Bombyx mori: one gene and its partners. The protein of the gene in region 1 purifies or fractionates together with the protein of each later gene. This does not show direct contact. Links are inferred from orthologs where the notes say so. Each region holds a gene or a part of one and is shown in the gene's direction. Other genes may lie near its edges.

Evidence for each region.
Region 2: the proteins of mediator of RNA polymerase II transcription subunit 19 (region 1) and putative RNA polymerase II subunit B1 CTD phosphatase RPAP2 purify together in Homo sapiens (affinity purification with mass spectrometry; 3 studies listed by BioGRID and IntAct, with this or other methods). This does not show direct contact. The link is inferred for Bombyx mori from reciprocal best matches to the Homo sapiens genes MED19 and RPAP2.
Region 3: the proteins of mediator of RNA polymerase II transcription subunit 19 (region 1) and DNA-directed RNA polymerase II subunit RPB7 purify together in Homo sapiens (affinity purification with mass spectrometry; 3 studies listed by BioGRID and IntAct, with this or other methods). This does not show direct contact. The link is inferred for Bombyx mori from reciprocal best matches to the Homo sapiens genes MED19 and POLR2G.

The regions. Positions count from the first base shown.
Region 1 is NC_085116.1:16,048,757-16,059,639, reverse strand, and holds mediator of RNA polymerase II transcription subunit 19, read left to right. Parts: upstream 1-3,706; 5' UTR 3,707-4,231; coding exon 4,232-4,412; intron 4,413-4,498; coding exon 4,499-4,870; intron 4,871-5,391; coding exon 5,392-5,552; 3' UTR 5,553-7,112; downstream 7,113-10,883. UniProt on the Homo sapiens protein: Component of the Mediator complex, a coactivator involved in the regulated transcription of nearly all RNA polymerase II-dependent genes.
Region 2 is NC_085121.1:1,513,520-1,523,875, forward strand, and holds putative RNA polymerase II subunit B1 CTD phosphatase RPAP2, read left to right. Parts: upstream 1-7,808; coding exon 7,809-9,611; 3' UTR 9,612-9,763; downstream 9,764-10,356. Other genes in the region: uncharacterized protein LOC101736188, read right to left, coding at 3,089-3,174, 3,701-3,850, 7,524-7,526.
Region 3 is NC_085131.1:4,001,691-4,012,570, forward strand, and holds DNA-directed RNA polymerase II subunit RPB7, read left to right. Parts: upstream 1-5,449; 5' UTR 5,450-5,608; coding exon 5,609-5,620; intron 5,621-5,698; coding exon 5,699-5,808; intron 5,809-6,627; coding exon 6,628-6,787; intron 6,788-7,628; coding exon 7,629-7,679; intron 7,680-7,904; coding exon 7,905-8,042; intron 8,043-8,608; coding exon 8,609-8,659; 3' UTR 8,660-8,794; downstream 8,795-10,880. Other genes in the region: small GTP binding protein RAB8, read right to left, coding at 2,743-2,883, 3,314-3,518, 4,536-4,596, 4,830-4,953. UniProt on the Homo sapiens protein: Core component of RNA polymerase II (Pol II), a DNA-dependent RNA polymerase which synthesizes mRNA precursors and many functional non-coding RNAs using the four ribonucleoside triphosphates as substrates.

The DNA.
Region 1 (10,883 bases):
AATACACCGGACGCCTTAACCTTTAGGCCAGGACGGTCTCAAAATTACACTTATACACGAAGAAATATTAAATACGCATTAACTAAGAAACAATAAATAGACAAAATAAAACAATTCACACAATTTAGCTCCTCGCGGTCCCTCCAAAATGTCTTTTAATTTTTTTTTCCTAGTTGTTCAATTGTAAATGAATAAATCAAAATCAAATCGAGTTTACGTTCTATACGGTGAAAAATTAAGAATTGTGAGTGTGAGTTGAGATATGCTACTCGCTTCGCAGGGCGTTTATTCACCGAGAGCAGCAATAATATTATTTCTCGTATATTGGTAGCACGTGATGTTTTGGCATTAGACCGTCTAAATGAAATACAACGCATTTTAACAGCATTTTAATGGGAACCTACTACTTTCAAAATTATTCGGGTAATGTCACGTGTTCAATACTATTTTGTACCTTTAGAATTAAAGTGGCTCAACCCAAAATTCTTAGTTTCTGGTAAACTTCAATATTGTAATAGAATAATTGTATTTTTTAAGTTTTTCGGTTTAAAAACTTTAAGGCATGCCATTTTATTTGAAAAAGACAGAAAGAGTACTTTGTCCTTTTCTAGACTAAAAGAGACTGTTTAATTTTATAAGCTGATAGAATAATATAGAAAAGAATAATAGGATACCCTCTAATCGTCACATTGGAAAAAGGTATGGCTTTATCATTTTATCATAAAATTTTATTTTTATTGCACTTATAAAACTAATTTAATTTACAACATGTAAATACATATATCTATAACTAATCCGTACTTGTCAAATTCCTCATAAATTGTCAATATTCTTAATAAAATTCCTATTAATAATATACAAGTGCAAATGTTGAGCTGCTTGCCAGAAATGATATAATAGTGTTTTGTTTTTTTGTTGTTTCCTTGTAGGCTGCCTGTAATAATCTAAATCTGTGTGAAAGGCAATAAATGATTTTATTATTATCTACTAATGGTAGTCCAGTGGTCGAAATTTGACCATAATTTATTTAAATTTTAAGTTTGAACATTATTATAGTTCTATTGTCACCTTTCTATTATCATCATTTCTATAATAATCATTGCTCTATGTCGCCAAGGCTACATTATAGAAAAATAATATTAAAGACAAAAAATATTAATCTATTCTCAATTTGACCACAGATTGATAAATCAATAAACAAAAAAAGTATAAATGCATGTGTGTGTGTGTGTGTCAAATACATGGTAATGTGTGTAAGGTTTTTTTATTCATTTAGTTAATTTTTTTATTGTTTATGCACAATTAAAAAAAAAAAATTAGCAATCTGCACTACTTCTCTATATTCTCTATAAGTGTGGGAAATTTCATACTTCTCCGTCCGCGCAATTTTCGTTAAAAGGAGTACAACATTTTTGCTTCACGTATTACCTACTTAAAATGTAGGTTCTTAATAATAATACATAAGTGTTTTGAAATATAAAACTAATCTTAAATTTTTTAGTTATACCACTTCCATTCTAAGGGTACAATTTCGTAAACAAACTTTGCCGTAATGGCGTAACCTTTAAAATACACGAAAACTGCCCAGCATAAACATATTTTTTTAGTAACTTTAATAGAAGTATTAGAATTAGAAGTTTGTTATAGAATTTATTTAATTGTAATTACATATTTAGACATACTTAACATAATTAATCTTGGAATAGGTAATTATTTCAGCTTTTTTTAATTAAAGAAATTATGTTTTACATAGGTTTAATCATTTACCCGTTGAACGTTTATAAAATGATTGTATTTACGGTAATAGTATGATAATATGATCTTCATTAGGTGGCCCAAATATACTAAAATTATTACGAGCATCCATCCTTATTTATAAATGTGTAAAGAAGCAAAATTATTATTACATTGTTCAAATTTCTATATAATTTAAAAATATAAATCTGTACGTATGTACCTGTAAATATGTATATTGCGCGCGCGCGTGCGTGTGTGTATGTGTGTGTGTGTGTGTGTGTGTGTGTGGGTGTGTGTGTGTGTGTGTGCGTGTGTGCGTGCGGGTGTGTATATATATTTCTATAATAGATAGGTACACAGTGTGCAATTCATTTCGAAATTATTCTTGCCCATCTAATGGTTGTCTGGAAGAGATCACTCTTAGCGATAAGACCAAGAATGTTTCGCAATATTTATTCATTTTGTGTACAATAAAGAATACTCTATCTCACTCTCTCTCTCTCATCAAACATCTCTTTAAAAAAAAGCAATGATTTAATAAGAATTAAATGAAAAAGCAAAGAATTAATATGTATTTACAACTAGCTAGACGTCTATAAAATTTTCTAACCGAAAAAATATATGTGTATAAACCATTAGAATAGATAAAACCTTCAAAAACAACATTATTATTAAAAACGAAAGAAAAAATCTTGATATTATATTGCTTTCACGGCAAAAATTTTAGTGACTACTTAACTTGCTTGAAAGTGAAGAAATACTCTCAAAATCCATTAATTTGCAACTCGCACTCGCACATACAATAATCGAGAGGCTCACTTCGGTAAAGCTATTTGATACATGAGACAGCAACATAAACAAACCTTCTCTCTCCCACAAAATGAGATTCATAAGCTTACCACTAGGTGGCACTGATACAACCTCACACAAAATAAACATAACATTAACATCGACTGAGTAATTAAAAAAACTTGCACTAAGCACAGGTACATTACCCATTACCCGACTAATTATAAATATCGTTAGAAAGCTTGGCATTTCAATTAAACGCCTTAAAAAAAACCTTGCGTGCTACCAATATAAAAGAAAAAAATATCGCTTTTCAAAATGAATAAACGTCCTGCAAATCAAGTAACTCGCACTCAGAGCTCCGCACGTTTCACCGTGAAGAGCGTACACTCGATGCGAGTCATTCGATTCGATTTTTGAAACTCGCACTAAGCCTACGGACGTCTTATAGTTTAAGCCAGGACGACTTAAACAAAAAAAAAAGCCTAAGCATTTGTTTCAATAAGAATGTTTGATTTTTTTACTGCTTCAAAGTTTGAATGAGCTCATGCTTTCTTGTTTAGTGGATTTTTTAAAGATTGTATGACCTGTTACCGAGACCTTTTGTTGGACGGTTAAATTTGAGAGGACTGGGTTCTGTAGGTGAGGGGCTATTTAAAAACACTCTGCTTCATGGTTAATATATAACACCATTACAATATTTTATTTTATAAAACCCTAAGATGTTGCATAGTCCGTGTCTAGAAGAGAAGCCATTGTCCTCACTCAAGAGAAGACTCATCTGTTTTAAATATTTAAATAAGCATTTCAATATTCGAAAACTGTAACCTTACATGTGTCAAGTGTTACCTGCCATTACTTACATATTCAAACTCCAACACCATTGGACCAGTTTTAAAGTGTTTTCAAAGCTCATAGACATCACAATTCATTTTCCATACAAAATTATCACGGAAGCTCCAAGTGCTTATGTGTCAGAACTATAATAGACTATTTCAACTAATTCAAAACAAGTCTATTTTAATTAGACAGTTGCTATTTTAATTTGAGAATTGCTAGTATTTAATTTAAATATAAATTTCTTGAGAACCAACAAAACCATGTACCTATTGTTATGATTTTCTTTAAATAACAATATTAGAGTCTGTGGGAGTTACAAAGCTAGTGTTGCAACAGGACTTTTTGGCGGGAACGTGAGGAGTGAAGTTGTGTGATTTGTTTTATTTTGTCTATTTAGTGTTTCTTCGGGTTTAAATGTGTAATAATGGTGGTTTATTAAGTGTTTAATATCTGTGAAAGTGCGCAAATGTGGAAAAATGAAACAAAGCCGCTGGACGTAACTTCTCGGGATCCTCCAAAAAGTCCACTGAAAAAATCTTAGTAAATGACCACCATTTTACTGAGATTATATTTCATCCCATTTCATTTCATTTAATTTCATCCCGTTGATTAATATCTCAAATTAGTCGTCTTCATTATTTCACTCCATAATATTATTTTTCATAAAAATTGAATATAAATTAAAATAAGACATGACTTAAAGGTCTCAGTTCCCTTAAAAAAAAAGTGTTGCAACATTGTTCCTACTTTTATTTTTTAGAGTTGTCAAAAGCTTGGGAGTAGGGAAGGTCTTTTTAATTTTTTGTGATTTTGTTTAGAGTATTTAATTTATTTAAGTTCGTTTCGTAGATAATGGTCATCCAAGATGATGTCTGATCAGTTTAGGAAAGTAGAACCATATTCGCCAAAATCGTCGCCGAGGGGTGCGAGGTCACCAGTCGTCTCTCGCCAAGATTCTTCTGGTACACTCAAAACTACTATATCCTTAGGCAAAAACCCGTCTATAGTGCACAGCGGACCATTCTATTTGATGAAAGAACCCCCGGGTCAGTATCTCCAACTCTTTAACATTCTCTTCTCAAATTCTTAAATAATTATATTCAGGAAGTGACTTCGACGATTTCTTTTACAGGAGAATGTGAACTGACAGGCGCTACAAATTTAATGGCCTACTATGGACTTGTACATTCTTACAGTAAGTTTAATGGCAAAAAGCTGAAGGAATCCCTATCATCTTTCCTTCCGAACCTGCCGGGCATCGTTGACGGACCTGGGCAGGACGATAACAGTACTCTAAGTTCAGTTATAGCTAAGAGACCAATTGGTGGTAAAGAATTACTGCCATTAACTAGTGCTCAGTTGGCAGGTTTTCGATTACACCCTGGCCCACTTCCTGAGCAGTACAGATATGTGAGTGCAACACCACCAAAGCGACATAAAAGCAAACATAAGAAACATAAGCATAAAGATGGTGCACCTCCTGGGCAAGAGACACCTTTACAAGGTAAGAACTCAGAACTCAACAACATTGATTTAATAGATTTAGCTATGTCCCAAGCTTGTAGACAATATTACAAATTAGCCACCTGTAGATGCTATTTAGGTCTAGGTGAGTCTTCCAGGCACTTTGACTACATTAATCTAGTTAAGACAGTATTTGAATTGCAGTGTAATTGTACTCTGCATTTTACATTTTGTGGTACTAACCCGTGCGGGCTCAGAAGACACCCTATCAATTATTTTTAGTGAGTCTGTTTACAACACTGTCCTTCACTGTGGAAGTCAATTGTGAACATTTGTCAAGTACATATTTCATAAGGAAAAATGGTACTTATCTGCGGGATTCCAACACTAACACAGTCGCATCACTCAATATGAATGCACCAGGCGTCTTATTCTTTAGGCCACAATGATTTCATTTAACTTTAGATGTCAAGTGATACTTTTTAAATTGCTTTATAAGTTATATTATTTATACTCCATTTTTGTCTTGAGTTTTAATATAAAACATATCTATTATTCTAGATTCATCAAATCCAGACACATATGAGAAAAAGCATAAGAAGCAAAAACGTCATGACGATGAGAAAGAACGAAAGAAGAGAAAAAAAGAGAAAAAGAGAAAAAAGCAAAAACACAGCCCTGAGCATGGAGGCCTTACACCAAACCAACATCCATTACCGTAAATATAAGTGTACAAGTAGGTTTAAGTCGAATAATGAGCCCAAAGAGAGTATTGTACTAAAGATGACTAAAAATTAGTAATTCATTGTGTTCTAGTGATATTCCATTACTAGTGAAATGTACCTCTACACTTTGTTGTGCATATGACTAAATGTATGAACGGCACTCATTTGTTGAAACTACACGTGCTATCTATCATAAGTTGATTGTAATACGATGGAATGTTGTTAACATTTCATTAAAGTGGAAAGTTTTCCTCAATTGGTTGAATGGTATAATAACACAAGAAGAATAACATACAATTGGTTGTGGCCTAAAGGATAAGACGTCTGGTGCATTCGTGTTAAGCGATGCACTGGTGTTCGAATCCCAGGCAAGTACCAATTCTTTTAATGAAATACATACTTGACAAATGTTCACGATTGACATCCACAGTGAAGGAATAACATTGTAATAAAAGTCAAACCTGCAAAATTATAATTTGCGTCATTACTGGTGGTAGGACCTCTTGTGAGTCCGCATGAGTAGCTACTACCAGCCCGCCTATTTCTGCCGAAGTAATAAGTTTCGGTTTGAAGAATGGGGCAGCTGTTGTAACTATACTTGAGACCATTGCATTTATGTTACATCCACCCATCTAAGCAATAAAATAAAAAAAAGAGTAGATTTATCTGAATCTATATTTCTTCATTATTCAATGGGGTGTATATGTCCATAAAATGAAGAAAAAACGAAGTTTTTTATCACATTTTAAACCATAATAAGAAAAATGAGGTTTGCAAGACTTTTGTTTTTATGAAATACCTAAAATTGCTAGTCAGGCAATGTTTTAAACTTATAGCTAATTTATTATCTTTACTTCATAGTAATTACTTTTGATTCTGAACTTAAGATTTCTAGTAACTTCTACTTGGCTTTCAACAGGTTCGATTGCATGGTAGATTTAATAAGATTTTGTTATGCTAAGTTACCTAATAGAGTTAAAATGCCATGATGGCAAGCAACATTGTGTTAAGTTGACCACTTTGAAAGAATAATCACATCATTCTCAAATGTTTCTAATGCAAACATTAGGAATTTATTAAAAAATATTACTAATTAAGAATTAAATTTCTGAGCGAATTGCCCACAGAGTGACATTAAAACAAAAATATTGTTACTGTTGAATTCCATGAGGTCTCTTCCATCTCTTTGGGCTCGACTCAAAGTAATGTATTTAATTAATATTTAAGAATTTGTTATAAGAAAATCGTTCTGTTTACCAAGTTAAGCTAAATTTAATGTTTTTTTTTATTATTATTTAGAATACAATAAAACACACCTGTGTAGGTAGCTGCAGACGAAAAAATATTGCAGAAATCTCTAAAATTTTCTGAAGCAAATTTTAGGAATAAATGAAATTGAAATTTTAAGAATTACATATTTAGTGGTAGGACTATGTTCTTTAAAATTTGCTTCGGCATCAATATAATGTCCTGTTAACCTGATAGTGTAATTGATAATTTTGTTTTCTTTTTACCACCCTTATAGAAATAAAATTTGATAGAAAGACATTATTTAAATTTTTGGTTTTATTTATCTTTAAGCATTTAAGGCTGGAATGACCTCTACAGTAAACAGTTGAGCGCCATTTTATTTTCTGTTTCTGTCCTTTTTTTGTTCAGTAACCATTGATAAGATCTAGATTACAAAAAAATATGGTACCGTACCTAATGGTTTTTCTTTAAATGTCCCTTTACTAAGTGGTTGTTAAGAGTTTTTTGTTTGTGTAGCAGTTATTGACGAACTTTACTATACACTAAAAGCTCCTTATTCGCGGGGCAAGCGTTCCGTGAACATGGAAAAGTACTTTTACAAAGGATATTATGTTGGATACCTACATATTCTAATCCTTTTTATCAATGTGTATGTATCGATTAAATCCACGAATAAAGAAATCTTTAGCAGCGAACATAGGAATTGGGTCGCATATTTTTAATCTGCGGATAAGGAACCTGTACTATTAATGTTTTTTAATGCATTTATATTGTACCTACGAATCTGCACCGACGCGTGATTAGTGCTTAGGTAAGGTATTATTTTAACTTATATGATGCAGTTTATTAAATCTCTGCCACTTTTGCCAAAAAATTATATAGTTATTTATTTATTTATTATACCAACTCAGTATTTAGTGTATTCGAAAAGAAAAATATGGAGGAACCACTTCAGCTTCAATTATTATGCTTTAAACCAACATTATCTTTGAATTAAAATTACTTTCTGTTTACATTTCATTTCTACCTATTAAATTATTTGAATTATTAAATTATTATTATTGATTTAAATATTATAAATATGTAAATTATTTAAAAAATATATAAATATTATAGATTCATATGGATTACTCGAGTAAACTTGAAGTTGTCGTGGCCTAAAGGATAAGACGTCCGGTGCATTCGTGTGTAGTGATGCACCGGTGTTCGAATCCCGCAGGCGGGTACCAATTTTTCTAATGAAATATGTACTCAACAAATGAGTCGTCTATTATCAAAGGTGGCAATCTGTGTATTTGGACAAAAAAATGTTAATGATATGTCAATACAGATTGATTTGAATATAATCGTCTCCTTAAAAGAATACGGTTCAAAACCTGCATTAAATAAAGGTTAATACTTAACCTGTTATTTATCTAAGATGTCGTTCAGAAGAGTTTTGCGACTGCCAATGGAATACAAAGTCAATAATTCGTTTTTCTGGTTTACCAATAATTGTCCAAAAGTCACATTGCCGGCTTTGATAATAGACCGACTCAAATGTTCACGATTGACTTCCACGGTGAAGGAATAACATCGTGTAATAAAAATCAAACCTGCAAAATTATAATTTGCGTAATTACTGGTGGTGGACCTGGTGGACCACTTGTGAGTCCGCGCGGATAAGTACCACCGCCCTGCCTATTTCTGCCGTGATTTCGGTTTGAAGGGTGGAGCAGCCGTTGTAACTATACTGAGACTTTGGAACTTGTATCTCAGGATGGGTGGCGCGTCTACGTTGTAGATGTCTATGGGCTTCAGTAACCACTTAACACCAGGTGGGCTGTGAGCTCGTCCACCCACCTAAGCAATAAAAAAAGACAAGATGGTGCTCCTTACCTATACCCTCCATGCGGAAGCCTAAAAAAATATTATGAAACTGCCAATTCCAGATTCAATTTCTGTTGTGCTTGGAATTAGTTGGAATCAATAAAATAGGATTTATTTTCAAAATCGGCCACAATAAGTATTGTATATTATGCATTCAATAATGATAGCCGGGTTATAACGTCTTGGTTGGATTCAAAATTGTTTATTAACGATAATACTTATGAAGACTCAACAAAATGAAAATCAAACTTCTTACTTCCATTTCACATTGTACGCATAGTGGGACTTAACGAAAACGTGATTTAAAAAATTGTTATTAACACCAACGTGAAATGACTTCTAGCTTCGTAGTATAAAGTTATGACAGTAGATGTTATTATTTTATCACACATCCCCTCCCCTCCACGGTGTTTCCCGAGCGCTATGACATGTCCTTCTTCAAACGAGGCTTGTGGAGAATATTAAGCGATAAGCAGCGGCTTGGCTCTGCCCTTGGTATGCTGAAGTCCATGAGCGACGGTAACCACTCACCATCAGGTGGGCCGTATGCTCGTCTGCCTACAAAGGCAATAAAAAAAAAACATTAAAAAAACTCAAACAAAAAAAAAACAAATGATTCCACAGCATACTTTATTTTAAAATAATTCAAAATTTATACATATATCTGTTCGCTTCGGAGACAATTGGTCAATCCTAAATTAAACAACAAAAAAAAAAAACGTAATAAATTAGTAATGCGCAGCACCATAATACATACAACTTTACAAATAATATTCGTACTTAAAAAATAAGACTACACATTATGTTCACGAGGTGGGCAACACCAAAATTTATAATGATTATACCACTTTAACTTTGACACTTATATGATGGGGCTGTAAAATAAATTAAGTTTTAATTTTTAAGTGATATCGCTTAATGTCGTTTAAATTTTATCTGAGATAATCTACATTTACGTAATATACACAATCGTTCACTTTGAAATTAATATTTATTTAAATCGTGTAAACATTAGTACCAACTGACTATCTTATTATTCTTAATCTATTAAAACGGAGATGCAAAAGGTTAATCTTTCATCGATTGTTTTGAATACCAAATCAAAACGTTATAAAAAAAAAAAAAATATTTTTACAATAACTACGATACACAACGTCTATAACCTCGCAATAGAATGCTTTACTCACATACACTTACTCTTACGTCTGTCGCGCATGGCACATACGTCACTGAGAATATCCTATTAAAAGGACAATCAGCCAAACTTAATTGCAAATTACAAATTTAAAAAAAAATCATTAGGGTTGGCCAGTAACACTATTTCATTTGAACCATTAAATACGTACTCAAGTTTTTCATACATCAATAATATTTACTGTAGTAGAATTATTTTGTCCGTGCAGTTTGGGTCATAAAGAATCGGAGCGGTGCAGCGAGTATTTCGCTCTCTCTTCCACTCACGAGCCTTATGGACGGGCATAGTGATGCGCATTATTGTTGTCGATAAGCGTTATCGATAATGTATTTAGTTTTGTCCTTTTGTGGGTTAGTGATAAAAATGAAAGAAAAAATCACTAATCGAACACTTACACCACATATCGCCGCAGCAAGTTAACGAGAACGGCAGACATTAACACTTTGTAACTTTTTGGGAACTATTCTCATTTCAGTGAAAGTTTTTAACACATTGTTGATAATAACACGTGCTTGTACTGGTATATTTTTGCCAACAAGCAAAATATTTGGATAAATTCTGCCGTTTTGGTACAAAACAAAGGAGTAGCCATTATGTTACTAAAGAAATTTAGAGAGTGAATGCACAAAATCACATTTCTCTTCAACATATGTACTATAATTTGCAGGTAGGAACAACAAACGACTCATAACATAACAATGTCTCACCACCCTTCGTATACCACCCAGCCGCCGTGTATGATGACTCATTTGTTTTTATCGATAATGGCGTTGCGCCCGCGCAACATGCTCACCGCCCTAGCCGGGCTATCTTTTATGACCCAAACTGCACGGACAAAATGATTCTACTATAGTCGTGTCCGAAAAATCACCAAAAATAACTTGATTTTTGTTTGAAAGCTTTACCGTAATTTCCTACTACAAATATGTAAACATTATGCATTCAAGAATTAAATTAACAAACACATTCCCAACACAATAAGCGGGTGTGGTAACTATAAATTATAAACGTTT
Region 2 (10,356 bases), on another chromosome or scaffold:
GTCTGTTTTTGAATAAAAGATTTTCTTGCCTTAAATTACATTATTGTGTAAAAATAATATAATATAATATTAAAATGCGGCAAATATCACACGATCTTAATCATGTATGATCAGAACTATGGCTCGATAAACAACTAATGTGATCTTTTATTACAATAATAATTACTTATTTTATTTCAACAATAAACATAATAATATACTTGTGTAGTTCAAGCGAAAAATTCACTATTTATTACAGATCAACTATAAAGATAGAGTTGATGATATGATTGTTATCGTAGATTGAGTTACGCTCAATTTGATTTCAAAAATTGTGGACGTAATCATTTCAAAAGAAAAAATCCTTAACATGAGCCTCATCCTTGGGCAAAGCTTCAAATGATATGGATGTTTTTTATAGTTATTGCTTTGATCATAGTTTGCAAAGTCGTAAATAATACTGAATTTCCTAGTTGTAGACTTATAAGAAATCAAAGTAGAATCGATTTGCAAACGACAAAACCGAATGTTTTAAATGCAGTTTTAAATTTTCCGCGCATTAGTTTACCGTTTTTGAAGCTTTCGTGATTTAAGCTTGTGACGAACTCGTAATGTCATTTTAATGAACAATATTTTAAATTATAAGCCTTATTTATCAATAAAATTTAAATTCTATGCTATTCGGGACATGTAAGCAATAAAAAAAAAAAAAATCTGTTAACCTCTGTCGGTGAACACGGCAAAGATAAACTAAAAATAGCGCTCGGATATTAATTTTCTCTACATGTGTCAAACAAAAGTAATAAATCTCTTTTCTGTGTACACTTTCCCATATGCCATATTTTAGTTTACTCTGATTTTAAGCTAGACTAGTTAGGATTTTGTACACAGGAGAAACTTATAACGCAGATTAAACCTGTAACACAGGATAAATTCTTAAATTTACTGACGTCGAATGTGTATCGTTTGTTTAATAACTCAATTAACTTTTACTACGTATTTTGAACAGCCGTGGCATGAACTAGTTCGATTAGTAAAAGTGTATGGGCGCGAACGGCCATGACCGCTATTAATATTATAAAGGATGTAAGCTGTGGGGCAATGACATTCCAATATAATTAAGGTTCGAAATACCGCCTCAAGGGCATTGAGACGTAATGTCCGACATAAACAAAACTGTAACCAACCTTAAATCATGTATTTAAGGTTTTTTTTACCCTACCTAAGCTGGTAAGCCTTGAGAGGCTATGCCAGCGTAATCGAACGAGTAGGTGAGCTCTCGCGGCGCAAACCTGACGACGTTGCTAACACTAGCCCTAGCAAGAGCAGTGCTTCGCTGAATCTACCACCGGATCGGAAATGCGACTCACTGAGAAAATCAGACTATAAACTCAGTGGGCTGTGTCTATAGGTTAATTTACTCACTGAACCCTGAGTCGCAAGCTTCGACGTGAACGGTGACCGGTGCTTGAGGTAATTGCATAGATTTGAACCATTTCGTCTGATGTTCAGTAGTCAAACAGTTGAAAGTCTCCTACCAACTGGAGGAATGAGGTCGCTCTGTGTTACTAACGCACTGAACTAAACGAGTCCGCCCAACCTAGTTTCGTTTCAAACTTTCACAAAACTAATAGAATTACAATTTTTCCGTGCATTATACCAAGTTCCGGACAACGCCCGATCTAGAATAAATTAAACCGACTGACCTCGATGTAATGTATCGAATAAAGTTAATAAAAAACAAAAGGTTTAGCTTTAAAATACATATATTATGTATAATACTTTTACTTTTTAACTATGATTGACTCGATAGTACAGTAGTTAGCGACCTCTAACTGTTGCGCCGATGATCGTGGGTTCAATTCCCGCATCGGGCAAACAAAATTTTGATAAACATGTTTGTTTGCTCTTTGTCTGGATGATTATTATCTATATGTATATGTATTTATTTAAACGTAAATATGTATGTCAGCCTCTGATACCCATAACACAGGGAATACTAATTTGGGACCGGACGACCGTGCGTAATTTGTTCCCAGTTATTTATTTGATTACTAGAGGTCCCGCAGTAGTCGAAATTCGACTATAATCAATTGGAATTGTAAGTTTGTACACTATTATGATTGTATTTTAAACTTCTATAATCGCAAATTTCGCCAAGACTACACTATAAAAAATATTAACAAAGACAAACAATGTTTAATCTATTCTCAATTTGACCACAGACGTCAAGAACAAAAGTTTGACAATAAATAGTATGACGCATGCGTGTGTGCGTCAAATACATGGTATGTAGTGTGTGTGATGTTTTTTTTATTGATTTAATGTATCTTTTATGCATTATTTAAAAAAAATATTAGCATTGTGTACTTCTTCTCTATATTCTCTATAAGTGTGGAAAATTTCATACTCCTCCGTCCGCGGAATTTTCGTAAAAAGGGATACAAAGTTTTTGCTTCACGTATTAATATATAGATAACTCATTATGATAACCAAATATAGACCTTTTTTAATTTCACACGTTTTTTTTCATTAAACTATTTTTTGACAACCAATGCGATGTGGTTACTGTAGCCCATAGATACCGCAATTGTGATAGTGTGTTTTTAATGCTCTCGATAGCGTAAAAGTGAACTTAAATTTGTATGGAGTTGGAACGTTTGCCTAAGTTTGCCGGTAGGGGCGCTGTTCCAACTCCATACTTTGAGTTAACTTTTACGCTATCGAGAACGTTAAAAAACTCGCACTAAGCACACAGAACACAATCTCTCAATTCGATAACGAGATCACAATAGTATTCTATACGAAAACCAAACGTACCTGAAGCTAATAAAACGCAATTTTGCATGGTCATTTTTTCCCCCCTACCTATTCGCTGGCAGCCTAAGGGGCTATTCCAACTACAATCGGACGGATGGGTGAGCTCATGGACTCAACCTAAGAGAATTTGCTAACACTAGACCTAGCAAGGGGAGTGCTTCGCAGAATCTATCCCCGGATCGAAATCGCGACCCACTTAGAATACCCGGCGCGAAACTCACTGGACTGCATATTCGTCAGAAATCTAACGCCGTTTTGATCGGGAGTATCTATTGTTAAATAGAATTACCTGTCGCAAAGAAGGTTTCGTCTTTCATCCGATCTATATGGGTACAGTTTGTTGTGTGCCTCGCGCTGCACTTTGGCTAGGTAAACCTGAAATATTTGAAACACTATAAAACTTTTGACTTATTGAAATTAACACGAATTAAATCCTAAATTCTCGGACGACTTCCCTGTCGTCAATTCATTTAACTTTCCTTACTTAATAAATTAAGCGAAAGTGGCCATATTCATATAATTTTATTTTGAAATTAGTTCAATATGAACGGCTAGTTCAATAATCTTTGATATTAAATTTCACACTCTGGCGTTTCATTACAATGTATTCGCTTACTAAGAGGGACTTACTGGTGGTAGGACCTCTTGTGAGTCCGCGCGGGTAGGTACCACCACCCTGCCTATTTCTGCCGTGAAGCAGCAATGCGTTTCGGCTTGAAGGGTAGGGCAGCCGTTGTAACTATACTTGAGACCTTAGAACTTATATCTCAAGATGGGTGGCGCATTTACGTTTTAGATGTCTATGGGCTCCAGTAACCACTTAACACAAGGTGGGCTGTGAGCTCGTCCACCCATCTAAACAATAAAAAAAAAAGACAAGATCTAAAAGCTTTGTCCGTACCTTGGAACCTTCGAACAGGAGTGCCACAAAGAACAGCGCGATCCAGGTTAGGGCGAACGCCCACCGCGTGCTGATGATTAGGCCGGAGAACAGGAAGTCTCCGAGGTCGTAACCGAACCACATCCACATGTGCATCTTAGCGGTTTTTCTCTAGAGTAATCAGTGAGAGGTGTTCACTTTTTTTAAAGTTGTTTCCGCCGTAGCTTTACAGCGTAGCCTACACTTTATATCGCCGAAGCGGAGACCCTTGCTGGGTATCAGAATGAAAGATAGCCAGGGTTCAAATTAAGTACTAATATTAAGAAAAAAAAAGACTCACAAACCCTAAGAAATAAAGTGGGTGTTTTTTTTTACCTAAGCAGATTGCCTTGAGAAGCTATTTCACGGGGCTCAAACCGGAATGATGCTAACACATGCCTAGCAAGAGCAATGCTTCGCAGAATCGGAAACGCGACCCACTGAAAAGATCCGGCGAGAAACTCAGTGGGCTGTGTCTATGGATCAATTCGCTCGTCGAGCCCTTCGTCGCAAGCGACGGGTTCGACGAGGACGGTGACCGGCGCTTGTGGTATCTAAAAGCACCGTTAATTGATCGGGAGGATCCGTAATGAGTGGGTGTACTATGATGATGATGATGATGGATGGGAAAATGGTATTTGAAAGCCAACTTCATATTTTTTACTATAGTCGAACAGTAATTTATTCTAACTTCATTCTACTCAACTGGTGAAGCAGTGAACAGCAACCCTGACTGCTGGTCATGGCTCGATTCACACTTTGAGCAAACATTCATGTGATGAACAATTTTGTTGTCTGGGTCACTGGGTGTTGATACACATTTTTAATTTATATATTATATTGATATAATTATACATCAGTTTTCGATATCCATAGTACATAATTGGAAATCATATTTTGAGACTGATGAATTTGTGAGATTTTAAAGAAATAATGATAAAATTCATTTAAAACAGAAGAAGTATCTCAGAAAATTTTGAAGCTTTATTGTTTGTTTGATTTGTATTAGAACACACTACTCAGTTCTTTAATAGAGCTCTATAAGTTTTGCGTGTTTCTTGTTCTAAATTCTTATAATTTAATAAAATTTCTAAATAAATAAGATACCTTAAATCTAAGATGCAATTAGACATAAAGCACCCAGTTCTTCAAATGTTTACTTAAGTAAATATGTACATCAGAGTTGTATATTTCAATGTCAATGTAAATTTACCCTTTAAATAAGCAAATCAGACTCTAGCGGCTATTGCGTGTGTGTGCACAGATAGCAAATCCAAAATAATTCAAATCAGATTTTTTTTTAAAAAGGTTATCTATTTTACTTAAATCAATATGAGGATTTTTTATTATTATTTTTAAGTACCATAGGAGAAATATGGGTAATATTTTCACTTAATAGCAAATTTTGTTTAAAAATACTGAATCACACTAAAATCACTTACAGTAGTTCTCAAGCAGCTGAATGATAGTATTAAGCCTTGTATTATACTATTTTTAGTTTATAGAATCTAATTTAAAACAATACTGGGAACAATGGACAGTTATCTTTCATAAAATGTTGACCAAATTTTGTATACTAATCACAGGCCATTGTGATTGATATGATTCATGTGATTGTCTTGTCAATTCTTCAGTTTGAATTTATTTTTAATACAGCCATAGGTAAACATGGATGCATTCAGTTTACCAATAGTCTTTAACATCAGCAATATTTGCAGAACTTAGAATAAACCATTTATTGCATGTCAGCAGAGTTTCCTAGCACTCTCCTAGCTGTTTCAGCCACTATCAACATAATGTGAGGAGAGGATAGAGTGGCTATTCTTCCAATGCTATGAAGTCATTCAGAATCAGGATTTTTAAATTAACCAAGATTATAAAATGGAATGCCATGATTTTTTGGTTAATAAAGACTAAGAAAACCACCAATTACAAAACAAAACAAAAATTGGGGCCACTCTTACATAAACTCATACTGGGTGATTTGAGTATTGTATATTTATGGATTGATTTTTAAATTCCAGTATGTTTATACTTAAATTTTAAATAGTTTATTTTTATATTGAATGTGAAAATTATGTTTATAGTAGCGCTCAATGTTTTAAAATTTAAACTAATATATGTGTAATATGAACTGGGATGTACCATTTGGGTCCTTTGTGTTATATTCTATTTTAGGCTTCAACTTCTCAATATATACTAGTTTTTAAAGTAGGGCTTTATGTTTTGCTTTATATATTTTATAATCGTATTTCTATGAATAAATTAGAGCCTGTTAAGCTAAATCTTCATAAGTAAATATTATCAAATAGGAGAAATTCTAGTGGATCTGGTGAAGTGAATATTTGTTGGTTTAATTACATAATTAAGAAATAATTATTCACATTAGTCATTACTTTGTAAGTAGGAAAAATCCTTAATGTTCTTAATTCACAATTTTATTAAGTGAAGCACTAGTATAGTTTAGCGGTGGGCAGCGGCTTGAATCTGCCCCTGGCATTTCTGAAGTCCATGGGCGACGGTAACCACTCACCATCAGGTGGGCCGTATGCTCGTCTGCCTACAAGGGCAATAAAAATAAAACTAGTATAGAACATTGTAACTAAAATAAGACTGGCATATGAATACCAAGTTTTTGTAAGTTTAAAAAAAAAAAAATTATGCATTTTTGTTTAAGCGCTTTAAAATACAGGTATCAATAAGGACTCTAGTTCATTACATTCAAAATAATTTTAAATATGATTCAGTGTTCGTAGCACTTACCTACTACTTATCAATTAAACTGTATTGTCCACTTCAAATTGCTGCGTTCCATTTCTATTTACCAAATGCAATTTTCATATCGTTCGACACCAACAACGTTATCTAACTCATTGATAATTTTAAAAATAAAAGTAAATAACTTTATCATAACAGGCGCGCTCTTATCTTTTGAAACTTAATTTTTTTCACCCACTTTTGGGTCAGCTACAAATATTGCATCTGACTATAAATTATGATTTTAAATTGTATACCAAATTAAAGCCTAACTGACGAGTCTGAGAGCAATTTCTAATTAATACAAAATACAAATCATACAAATGAATTGTCAAATAGACAAGTCTGTTAATAAATACTAGACTAAAATACTATGGATCATTATGGATGTGTGTACCTAGTACGCAAGTATTGTCTAGTACTATACTACTGATCCGTTAATGTATATCCTGGATCTTAATAGTTTTATTAAATAATATCATGTCCAACGCTTAAACGACGCCAGTCCAATCCGTAATAACTTTGTAGGCTTATAGTTTCGGACAGATATTGTCCAGCCGAGCGGAACAGATAAATCAAACAAACAAAACCAAAGCTTTTCGAATTATTCTGAATAGTTGAAGAACCGTTTCGAAATAAACAATTCGGCTTAATATTTCCACGTGAGTTCATTCATACTTTAGTCTATATATGAAAACTATTCAGCAGTAGGCGAGCTGTATCCCATCTACTGATATAGATTTTAAAATTGCTTCAGCATAAGGCAATCAAAAATAAAACGGTTACAACTTGATGATTTCATAATTAAATCATTATGGTTACCGGAATTGTGGATTAAAAGACTTAAGATTTACTGACGTGTCCGACGGACTGAGGAACTAGTAAATAAAGCTTAACCTTGAGAGACGACTAACCAGACCGCCATTAATAATGCACAGGGTAAATAATAGTACCAGAATATGTTGAGGAAATCAGTTCAGTCTATTCCATTTACATAATCTATGCATGTCTAGGACCCAATCCAATTTAAAAAAAATCTAATACTAACCATAGATTTAGACACGTAACCTACTCCCAACCTGAGTTCTGAGTTTCTGAGTGAAATGAAATTGACATCTGACTTTTGCTAACATGAAAGAAAAAGCATTGTGTGAATTAACGTTGTAGGTACTTATTAACTCCATGGAATTAACATAATATATTAAGTGTATTATCTACGGTTCATGGAACAGACAAGGCTTATGGGCTTAGATCCTTTTGCCTTTCCTAATAAGGAAAAATTGTACCAAAAAAAATAACTATGGTTCTGATCTGAAATAAAAATAACAATTTTATGAATAAAATGGAAACAAACGTGAAGCCTCCTAAAAAAAAACCTACAACAATAGAAGACCTCACGAAAGAACAAATTCAACAAGCGATAATTAAGAAACGAGAGTGTAACTCAAAAGCGCAACATATAGTTGAAAGTTTTCTAGAAAATAGCATAAACGAAGTTTATTTCCTCAAATGCTTACCAGACCTAAACCAGTCTCATTTCGAAGATGTTATTGAAGAACGATCAATCATAAGTCTATGTGGTTACCCGCTCTGCTCGAACACATTATCCAAGAAAGACATACCGAAGCAAAAATACCGAATCTCCATGAAAACGAACAAAGTATATGATATTACAGTTAGAAAAAGCTTTTGCAGTAATAGTTGTTATAAATCTGCCATGCACATTAAAAAGCAGATGCTAACAAGCCCGCTTTGGTTTAGAGAATATGAGATAATCCCACAATTTAATTTATTACCAATGAATTCGGCAGATGGTTGCATGGGACAGGAGATTGATGTGTCAATAATTGACAGAGTGAAAGTAGAACTTGAAAACAAGCCTTTCGTAGTTACCAATGGTTTTGTAAAAGCTACTCTTAGAGATATGGCATCAAATAATGGTAAAGATGATGTATATAATAAAGCTACTGAGGAGCAAAATGAACAAAACTTTAAATTAAGTACAGAAAGTACTGAACTGGATGAAAAAGAAATGAAGCATAAAGACAGCGTAAATAAAGCATCAGAAGGGAAATCCTATATCTTAAATTCAGAATCAAATTCTGTTCAAACACAAAAGTATCTACAGGAAAAATCTTGTCCTGTATCAGTGAAGTCTGAAAATACTGATAAAATGAAAAAAGCAGTATACAATCCAATGAACATTGTCGGAGATATCATAGAAAAACCTGAGAAGAAAATTGATTTGACTTTACTAAGTGCAAAGGATGAACAAAATAACGCAAGCTCATCTCTATCTCAAGAAAAAAAGAAAGAGAAAAAGCCATTAGTGACTGTATTAATTGTAGAAGTGGAAAAATGTCTAGCAGAATGGTTTACTTTAGACACATTAATTTTTCTCTATGGCGAAGAGAAAGTGAGAGAAATGGTATCAGATAAAGAAGACAGTGTGAAAGAATATCTGAAAAATTTTACAAAAGGTACATTCTACAATTCCACAGCCTATGATCAATACCAAGCTTTATGCAGAAAACTTAATATGCTCGAATTAGAAGACAAACGTTATGATGCCAAAACAATGCAAAGGGAAATGAAACCGCTGCCAGATTACACTATACTACAGGAAGAAAGCAAGAAAATACAATTGAAAGTAAAGGCGTTTTTTGCTGGTCAAACTGAAATACCTGAACCAGAGCCTGAAGAAAAGAACACACAATCAGATGAGAACTTCACAGCTTTGCCATTAGTAGACAAGAATTCTCAAAATGCATTACGTAGACGAATAGTCTGTCAACATTTAAATAAGACCCTACCGGACATCTTGAGGTGCCTAGGTTTATTAAGTTTGGCCATAAGCACAGAGGTGCGTCTTTTGGTAAACACATTCAAATTGAAAGCAAATAATATAATGTTTAAGCCGATTCAGTGGACTATGATTACCATAATATTTATAAAACTTCTATCATTAAGAGATGTACACTTGGCACACTTATTGGAGCAACCAATGGCATACCAACATATTCAGTTGTTACTCTTGAGTTACAAACAAGATAATGGCTATTTAGATAGACTAATATTTTGGCTGACCGATGTTGATAGATTATTGAATACAAACAGTCACTGTGCTATAGAATGATTGTATGCATAATCTTACTGTAACATTAATGTAACTTGTGATATTTTAGATTGTAAATACTTGTTTTGTTCAAAACACTTTTTTTTAATTCAAAATATTGTTGTTTTAGTTTCATGGAATATAAACTTGCCAGAGTAATATTTATCAATAAACTCGCAAAATTTTTATTGCATTGATAATGCAGAAGCTCACAACTCAGCCAGTATAAAAAAAGGGTTCGTGTACTTATGTACGCTCGTAAGAAGTTATACTTTATTTTTATTAAATTTATTCCCTTTTTTTTTAGATATTAAATAATTAATAATAAATATTTAACGTTAATAATTTAATAATATTTAGTATGAATTATATTAAATAATAATTTTGTCATTTATATTACAAAAAATAATGCTGATAACACTTCTTTTTACGAGTGTACATGCGCGAAAGTTCACCTGCGGCTATATTCAGACCCGCCAAATTACGTCGGTAGATTTAGTGGGCAACTTCATTCTGTTAATTTTGTGTCACGGTGCGCGCGCATCGTAAAATTTCACTCTCATCAATTTTTCATAACGCGCCTAAAGAAGTATATATAACTTCAACAGTTACTGGACCCCATAAACATTACAAATTTAGATGCCATTGTGCTACTTGAGTCATGAGATTCTAGCAATAAAAACCTGGATATACTAATTTTGCTAAGTTTTAATATTTTTTCTCTACTTATTTGAATTAGTTTCTTTTACCTACCTATTCACTGGTA
Region 3 (10,880 bases), on another chromosome or scaffold:
CCTTGAAATATGGGATCGAATTTTACCGTATTGCATTGATCTAGTAGGTATATCAGTTATATCACTCACTTCAAGTAGCCTAGTCAGAGACATGCGGAAAACCTGAGATACTTTAAAAACGTAAATTTTAAACTTAATTATCACACGTTGCTAGTTTTACACACGAAGCTGTGTTAAAATTTATCAACTCCTTCTTTTACTGGTGGTAGGACCTCTTGTGAGTCCGCGCGGGTAGGTACCACCGCCCTGCCTATTTCTGCCGTGAAGCAGTAATGCTTTTCGGTTTGAAGGGTGGGGCAGCCGTTGTAACTATACTGAGATTTTAGAACTTATATCTCAAGGTGGGTGGCGCATTTACGTTGTAGATGTCCATGGGCTCCAGTAGCCGCTTAACACCAGGTGGGCTGGGAGCTCGTCCACCCAACTAAAGCAATAAAAAAAAAACCCAACTCTAGCTCTCCCTTTGCCTACTGAGTATTTAAACATTAGCTATGGAATCCACAATGAAACAAAGGCTTTTAGGTATGTTATTGCATACTATAAAAACAGCAAGCACTAATCGTTATTCTATCTGAGTACTGAGTCACAAAGTTAAATGTATGGGGATGCTTCATTGATAACGGAAATGGTGAGTAAGACAAGCTGACCGTGTTAAGGCACAAAGAATGATGGTTTTATAATTAATTACAATACACACACCAATAACTGAACTATCGAACAATTTAGTTCATAATTAAATTTAAACTAGTATTCCAATCCAATACTTATTGTGATATATTAGTTTTTAACTAGCTTTTATTAACTTGGTCTGTATGTATGTATGCAATCTTTGAACGTCATTCTCGCAGACTTCAAGAAGTCCGATTAACTTGAAAATCTGCACATGCATCAAGGAACTGACGGTTTTATAACTTTGCTCTAATGTCTGTAGTAGTGTAGTGTATTAACAGTATAAAAAAAGTAATTAATTTTTACTTCGGGTCGTTGTTATATTACCGTTATTTTTAAACTAGGTACATACCTATGCATTATTATTCCAAATCAAATTACCTACATCTAATATTGTTATAGGGATCAAGATGGAGGAGTTATTAATTCTAGAGATTTTAAAGTTGTATGTAAAGTATTAGAGAGGGAAAAAAATATATATAGCAAGTATTCGTGTATTATTATAAGTGGTTAGACATACATTTTGGCCCCAAGTGACGTCATACGTAAAGTAGTTGCGTTTAGACATCTAATGTAAAGTTTTCACGGCAATTATATTATTATGTATACCTTTACCTAATTTGTAAAAAACAAAAATGTTCATAGACGCCCACAGATCGATGCATTTTTAGACTTGGAAGCAGTTTGTTTACTTTTTTTTAAGGCTTCGGGCTACTAATTAACACAAAAGTATCCGCGTTTGTATTTAGACTTCTGTCACTAAGCATTGAATGTCTTCTATTTTTTTTCTATCAAAAGCATCTATCAGGCTTCTATCAAATTGCTATCATCATTTTGGCAGCACTACAAACGTAGTATTGTAAAAAAAACAATGTTTTAATTTATGAGTAGTAATAAATTACTATTGAAAGCATGATTACAATTCAGCATTAAAACGAAATGCATGCTTTTTTATGTTTTTTTCTACAAAACTACTAACAATATCGAATCTCATAAAAAACAGGCAAACAAAACAATAATCATACAAAAACACAACACGAGTAAATGTTTAAAAGTATATTTTACCTTCTGGATTTCGAAAAGCGGCCATGAAACAAACAAAGTACTAAGATTAGATTTTATTATTACTGGCATACACGGGATCCCTGGTTTATTGTTCTATCTACTAGCTATAAGGGGCACTATGTGAATGGTACCGCCCATTTTGAGACACGGAATGGTCCTCTCTATTGTATCGCATTAAAACTAGAACTTCTCGAACGGGAACGCATATTTGTTTTGCGCCAGAAGTAGGCATAATGGTGTCACTTCCCTGTGCAGTTTCACAAAACACCGCAACACTAGTATGGTTGCTTGCTGGTTATTTAACACTGCACGGGTAATTTTCAGAGTATACTGAGATAGCTTCCTTAAGTCGTATTTTATAACGCCCATGGAAAATATGGTAATTCTTGACTTTTTGCATTTTAATTTGATCTCAAGGTTACCAATTCCATGGTGAAATCAAACGTTCAAAAGATATTTAGTCATTATACATAGATCATTAGGTATATTATTTCACTACTGTATGCACATAAAATTTCCTGTTTTTTTTTTATTTACCTGATTTTAATTTATTTGGTAATATTATTGTAACCATAATTGAATACTACTGCAAGCAACAGAATCTTAGATAACTAAAGTTTATTTTTTAATGGCAACTTTTAAAATTGTATGGATTATCAATTTATGATTTATCAACTTAATGATACTTTATAAGTCTCTAATTACAGTTGAGATCAAACGCTCAGTGTATTCACGGCTTTTAGTTGTTGTGAAAGTCTTAATTATTAACATGTCTGTCCGTTTTTAACTGTACATGAGACAATTGCTTTTCAATCTCTTAATCATACCACCAACGGAGGTTATAAAGGAAATGTAGTCATACTAAACACATAATGTGTCATTAACTGTCATAAAATTAGCTCAGAGTGGGATGCGGGAATAGACATTCATGAAAATGACCTTCACGCAATATTGTGATAAAACAGACTAATTTATTATTACAATTAAATTGAAATTTTGCATAAATACCTGTTTCTTTTCCATTTTCGCTTTTATGTCCCTGGCTAAAGTGTAAAATGCATATTCAACATTTAACGAGTCTTTTGCTGATGTCTCCACAAATTTTATCTGATATTCTATGGCTAATTGTTCACCTCGCTCCTTTGATACCTGTACAATACATTGAGAACCATAATTATATTAGCACAAATAAGCGATGTTATGTTCTTATTAGTATCATAAATGAATTTGTAGAAATGATTATGTTTACTCAGTTATAATCATTAACATAAGAATTTTAAATCAACTCTATTTGAGTCGACTATTATCAAAGGCGGCAATCTGACTTTTGGACAATGATTGGTAAATCAGAAAAACGAATTATTGACTTTGTATTCCATTGGCAGTCACAAAACTCTTCGGAACGACATCTTAGATAAATAACAGGTTAACTATTAACCTTTATTTAATGCAGGTTTTGAACCGTATTCTTTGAAGGAGACGATTATATTCAAATAAATCTGTATTGACATATCAATAAAAAATTTTTGTCCAAATGTACAGATTGCCGCCTTTGATAATAGACGACTCATTTATCCACCTGTCTTTGAGAATCTAAGTCACACTTATTTCCAAGTATCATTTTCTCAACATCAGCACTGGCATTCTCTTCAATGTTCCTAATCCAATTCTTAATGTTTTCAAAGCTCTTCTCATTCGTAACATCGTAGACAAGCATAATTCCCATAGAACCACGGTAGTATGCTGTTGTTATTGTACGGAATCTCTCTTGACCAGCAGTATCCCTAAAATGATATAGAAATTGACTTAATGTTTTGATTCTGTTAGGCAGATAACATTTGAACCAAAATTACATAAATATGGTGAGTAAATGAACGTTGAGATTTAATTACACATCAATCAAGCAGCAACAATCTATTGACAGTGTATTAGAAAATTCAACCAAAATTCTCATTTAATTGTGTGAAAAAATGAAGCTGTTAAAATATTATTGTTAACTAATGTTACTGTACTATTATATGTTGCATCATTTATTTCATTAGTTGGATCAACTCATACAAGATTCAGACAACTCATACACACTTAATACATGCATGCATATTGAACAAAACATACTCTTAAAACAATTATTCATAAAGTTGTCATGAAATATTAATAAAGACTATTTATTTATGAAAAGCCTATTATATACTATATCAACTTTGACAAATTCCCAAAAAACTTTTAGGAATTTATGTTAAGATTGAATTATTATGTTCTTCTTTCTTTGCAAGCTGACAAAAAAACTTAAAAGCCAGTCCTGTAAGTTACCAGAGCAAATAGAAATCAAAACATGAATAATGTTTGAATGATGTCCCACCATTCAAAAAAGAAAGCATGACTTCTTTGTGTCAAAAGTAGGCTTTTACTTTTATGGTGGTATTAGCCTTGGTGGGTTCAACAATATGATTTACCACTAGTATTATTTTTCACCATTCTTCATTGTATTACTTTGTGATACACTAAATTTAAATAAGTACTAATTTAAAAAATGGTAATTTACAATTTAAATTTTGTATTATTGTAATACAATAATCCAGTGATTCAAATTAATTACCAAAAAAAATAATGTAAGAAGATTAAATATGCAATGTGAGACAAACTATAATGTACATTAATTCATTGATTATTACTTACATACTGATAATGAACATGTAAAATATAATTTTAATACATAAATCTACAGTAAAAATAACAATGAAACAACTTTTAAATTTCTTTAATCCAAATATGATAATCTTTTGTTAAAGAATAAAACTCACCATATTTGTAATTTAACTTTTTTGCCATCAAGGTCTATTGTTCGAATTTTAAAGTCGATACCTGGAAACAAAAACCCATTGAAACTGGAGGGACTAATTAAAATTAGTGAGTATGATGTCATTAATTCTAGTGTCCTTTAAATTAATAAGGGTTTCGTTATAAAGGCCGCGCCCTGATCATCATGTATTTAAAAAATGAAACAATGAATAGGAAACAAAAAACACTTCCATTACCTACAATAAGTGTACAAAAAAATTCTTCACTGACACTTTTGATCTGAAGAAACCACTTACCAATTGTGGATATAAAGGAGATGTTAAATGCATCTTCAGAAAATCTAAATAGTATTGATGTTTTTCCCACTCCCGAATCTCCGATTAGAAGTAATTTGAATAAACAATCGTAAGTTTTTGCCATTTTTACAACAATCTGATTACGCTAATACACATAGCCTGCCATTCATTTGGCATTTTTCAATCTCCACTAGTGATGTGAAACGAATTTTAATTTTCTATAGTAAATTAGTCACATGAGATACTGATTTTTTTAATAATAGTTAAATTGAAAAAATAAACATTTATTTACATAAATTATGTAAAAAATATTTGTAACTTAAATTTATTTATATGAACTATAAATAAGGAAGTTTGTTTATGATTATAAGTAATTGATATTTGATTTTTTTTTAATTTTTTGTGCTAGGTGAAAAGTGTTGATTATGTGTTTATTTATGATTTGGTATTTTTAGCAACTACTTCTAATTTATGACTAAACGAAAATATCGAGAGGTCGTTGCTCGTTTGTTAATAATGCAATCCACGTTACTAGTACAACAATAACAAAATTTGCATTTAGCCGTTTAAGTTACATTCCTTCTGCCTGTCCAATGCTCAAATTAAAGGAAAAATAATGACATTGACTGTTGACATGACTCAATTTTCAATTTGGTTTAAAATTTAAAATTAGCATGCAGTGTTGAGAGTTGATGCTGTTTATGTATATTACTAAAAAATAACAATAAAACAAATCTAATTGAATGGAATACTAATCGTAATTTGTCCACCGCTGAAAAATGTTCTACCACGTATGATATTTTATTTTCCTGTTTCACTCTGTTTAAAATGAACGCCAATGCATTCGTTTTGTAAATAAAACTTTTCAGATTTCATTGGAGCACGAAATTTTGTTACATCCGAAATATTTCGGTCCACAACTATTGGAGACAGTCAAACAGAAGCTATACACTGATGTGGAAGGCACCTGTACTGGCAAGTAAGTCGGTATTAATTGGCCGTAGGCCCACTGAGTTATGTTCGAACAAGACCTAGCGACTTGATTGCGATGTGAGTAACGCTTCGCTAATTTCCACATTATATTTATTTCTGTAACTATGGAGTGTATAAAATACTTTTCATCTTTAATATCGGAAATAAATACTGGAATGAACTGTCTTCCCTGCAGCTGCTGCTCAGAAGTCGCACTCTACTCACAAGTGTTACATGAATAGAAAATAAGGTCTGAAATAGGCTTAAACAGGAACTGACAGTAACTTTTGCTTTTTATATTTATTATTCTAGATCTGGGATGCCCAAACTATTTCCATAGCCCATAGCAAAATCACTTTTACAAAACCCTTTCTCTAGTTTTTTTCCTATTAATACAAAACACTTACCAATTTTAAAATTTGCTAAACTGATCCCGTTAGCAATCATCTAAGCAATAAAAAAAAAAAACATTAGGAAACCTGGCTCTAGATAAATTATTTCATGATTTATGGAACAATTGTTAAAAAGTGGTTATCTGAGCCCATAACAATTATAATATCAATGTATAATTATTATAGCAACATCAATGTATAATATCACTTAATGATAAATTGAGTTGATATCTCAATGGCATTCCAAACTCCTTTACCACACTTCAAACTGGAATGAAGGATTGCTTTGTGGCAAAAATAAACTAGAGGGTGGTTGGTATTCACTGAAAAAAGCTCAAATATTGCCTTACTGCCATTACATATTTAACTAACTGTTCTCTGAATTTATTGTGCAATTTGTGAACAAAATACAGTGAAAAGCAAAACATTTTTAGATATGGATTTGTCATCGCGGTAACTCAAATAGACAATATCGGAGCTGGTCTCATACAACATGGACAAGGGTTTGTCATGTACCCTGTTAAATACAAAGCTGTTGTGTTCAGACCATTCAAAGGAGAAGTTTTAGATGGTATTGTCACACAAGTAAACAAGGTGACTTAAACTATTAAAATTATGCTTAATGTTATTTCGGGTGAGTTGGAATCTTTTCTGAAGTAAGATAGTAGAACTGGTAATTCCTAACAAAGTGAAATTAATCACAAATAGAAACTTACAAAATAACAAATATTATAAGTTAGTTTTATTATATTGCGGTTATATTTTCAGAAAAAGTTTCCTTCACCCTGTAATTAATCTAGAGTATGCTGTTTTAGTACCACCATTTATAAATCAACAGTTTACTTTAGTAACACCTACCCCCTATTTATACGGTACCTATTATACTTGATTTTGGCTTTTTCACATTATGTAAATTTATGAAAATGTATACATTGGTTGCATATTAACATTATTGGGTCTCATTAATTTGGCAACACTGATGCAATAATGTACTAGTCTCTGTATTGTGGTATGTCACATGCATTAAGTGAATTATATACCTTTAATATGTAACCAAACAGAAAGTAGATCATGAAAAAGCAATTGAAAAAAATATTAGTGCTGTAGTAGTAGCGGAAGTTTATTTTACATGCTTTCAAATAGCACAAATAAAGATTTTATTTTACACTGTTTTGTAACTGATATATCTTCAGTATAAATAGGGGATAGGTGTATACTAAAATGTCTCTTTTATTAAGTAAAATAAATCAAATTTAATTTAAAGAGCCACTTACAAGGTTTTCCGCCCATAATTTTTTTAATACCGTTGTTGTCAGGCCCTCTTACAACTTATCTGATGGCAAGTAGTAACTATCGTTCATGTCAGTAATGCCAAGGGCACAGCCACATCAAGTCGTAATTAAAATTGTAAATTTACTATGTTTAATGTTTTTAGGTTGGCATGTTTGCGCAAATAGGACCTCTCAAATGTTTTATATCCCATCATGTGAGTATTCAGAGTGAATTATATAATTAAGCTTAAATTATTTTAAAATTATCAAGAGTATTCCTTCCTAAAAATATTGAGCCCCTCAGCCCATCTACCAATTACACCCGTTTGGTGAAAGATCTTCCCTTTGTCTTATACTACCAAATAATATTTTATAACCCAGAAAGGTTTACAAATTTTTGTACCATAAAATGAAATTATAAAAATATTTTTATTTTACAGTCAATACCAGACTATATGGAGTTCTGTCCTAATGTAAATCCTCCATGTTATAAGAGTAAACAAGAGGATAGCGTAATACAAGAAGAGGATGTGATCCGATTAAAGATTGTTGGTACGAGGGTTGACGCGAGTGGCATTGTAAGACATTGTTTTAATAATTATGTTTAAAATATCCATGATGGAATATTTGTATATAAGTATATAGTAGAAAACTAATCAGTCCTCCATTTACTTTCAACATAAGTTGGTCGTGCAATAAAAAAATAATAAAATAGTCACAATTGCTATTAAGTCATGTGTTATATTGTAAGGTGTCACAGATTCTGCTTTGAAAAAAAAAACAATCTTTTTGTTTTTATTACTGACATTTATTTTTGAAAAGGTGCAAAAAAAGTTTGAAATGAAATTTATTTAATTCAAAAGCTAAACATAATGTCGAATTCTGGACAATTTTTTCATAGTTTTCCCTAAATGTATATTGTAAATCACAAGAGTTCTACATTATTACTATCAGTGTTGCCAATCGACATCAAAAATATTTTTAACGATAAGCATATGCGAATACGCACTAATAGACACATTTCTATTAAATTTCAAAGTTTCGTACATAAATTTATAATCAATGTAAAACAGGTATGTAATGTCTAAAATAATAATATTTAATATTAGATCATTAACAAAATGTCGAAAATTTTGTTTTACAGTTTGCAATCGGGACTTTAATTGGAGACTATTTGGGATTAGTACCACAATAACTTGAAATTTATGTAACACAATTACAGAACACGTTATGCGAAGGATTGAACTACCACGCCTCAATTTTTAACGTTAGGAATATTCATAGTCTTAAGAATTAAATGAGTACAATGAAATAAAACGATATTTTCATACTTTTTTCTTTTATTTGGCATTCAAAAAAATAATCGAATTATCTATTATAAAAAACCTTCAAAACATACACAATAACAAAAACATACATAAAAACGAAGTTCAATATTTGGACACTCAGTCTATTTGGGCAGTGTTCATGGTGGTTTGAAATAATAATAAAAATTGATACATTATTAAGATTTACAATTGAGCGTTTGACTGTATGAGTAACCATATAAGGAAAATAGAATAACAAAATTATAGAAATTGAATACAGTATATCGAACAGAGGATTTCCAAAGTTGAAAAAATTAGAACTATGATTACATTGAATCACAAACTGTCATAACTCTAGTAAGTAAGCAGGAAAAGCTAATTTGCCACTTTCGCATTATTTCAGATTATTATAATATTTTTTCAAAGTCAATCAGTAAATTTTTCATAACTATATAAATAATCACTTATGTATAATAATCGAATAATCAATATCGAATATAATCGATAATTGTATTTAGTTAAATCGATAATAAAATATTATCGAAAGTGTTAATGTCTTTGGTGTACCAATTGCCTATGTACAAATTTATATTTTAATTGTATTCTACTAGTCGCCTATGAGACGAAATAACTGATATTTTTTGCGAGACTGATATTTTTTTTATTTTTTATTGCTTAGATGTGTGGACGAGCTCACAGCCCACCTGGTGTTAAGTGGTTACTGGAGCCCATAGACATCTATAAAAGATAAATCTATTTGTATGGTTGTTATGGTTAGCCATAACGCTGCTGGTATTTGTTATAGGGTTTTTTCACAAGAGACACCAGTTATTCCATTTAATTGCGAATCGGCTGTGCAAATATTAGTATAACTAATGAAATAGTGAATTGAATACTACGTATTATTCGTATGGCATCTAACGAAAATAATACTCAGTTTTGAGATCAGACACAAGCCTATATATCTGTGTCAAATAAAGCACCAAATGAATTTGCATGTAAATATAGAATGCATCAATTAAGAAAATCAGAGTACATACAATTATATTGGACTAAAATGGTTTTAGGTTTAAAAGCAATTATTATTCTCACTATACAATAATAAACTATTCAAATTACATAATTTCAGAGATTACCTTATTGCCAGTCGTCGTTTATATTGATTGATTTAAAATTGATCAATACCAATTACCTAGGTACACAGTAATACGATTTTTTGTCAATATGAAACAAGTCATTCGGAGTAGACCCGAAAAAATATTTGTTAAAATAAATATCAGGACTTAGAACATACACAAATCTATTACATAAAAACACATTTTGAATTTAATTTAAAGTTCAATTCAATTCAATTCAAAAACAAACTTTTATTGAAGCCTAATGTAATTTACCTAATGTTCACTTAACTTACCTTTCAAGTACAGTATTTATTTTTCTTTTCTAACCTCACACTTTATTTTATCATAATATAATATATTTTTTTATAATATTAAATATATTCAACCCGAGTGGGTCGATCATATCCTATGATCGAATCATAAATATCTAATTGTTTTCTACAATAAATATTTGAGATATAACATTGTGCATAAAACACGATTATATTTTATAAGAGTCGATCGTTTTAAAACAATGAATATTTATTTTGCATTTACAATAAAATTTGCACACAAATGATCACTGAAAAAGCTTACATGTCTGTTGGAAAATATATGTGTTCTGCAAGATGAAACTGCATTGTTGTGTGCCAACAAGTTAGGGAAATCTTATTATTTCCATCAACAATTTCGACTTGTAGAAAACACACATAATTCAACATATTTCAGCTTTATACAAGGCACGAAACAAGATGGGAACTATTATAGAATTTAAAGCAATTCATCTTATTGAACAACGACATTTATACATGTTTGTAATCGAAACATTTTCAAAAGTAAATCCACAATGTCACATTCAATTAGTACTATGTATATCGTTGGGAGCATTGATAATAATGAAAAAACAAGAGATCGTTTAGTTCACTTCAGTAAACTATTTAAATACTTATTTTCTCTTAATATTTTTATTTCTGGGGCTTCAAATAGTCATAGGGTAAAAATTATGGGAATT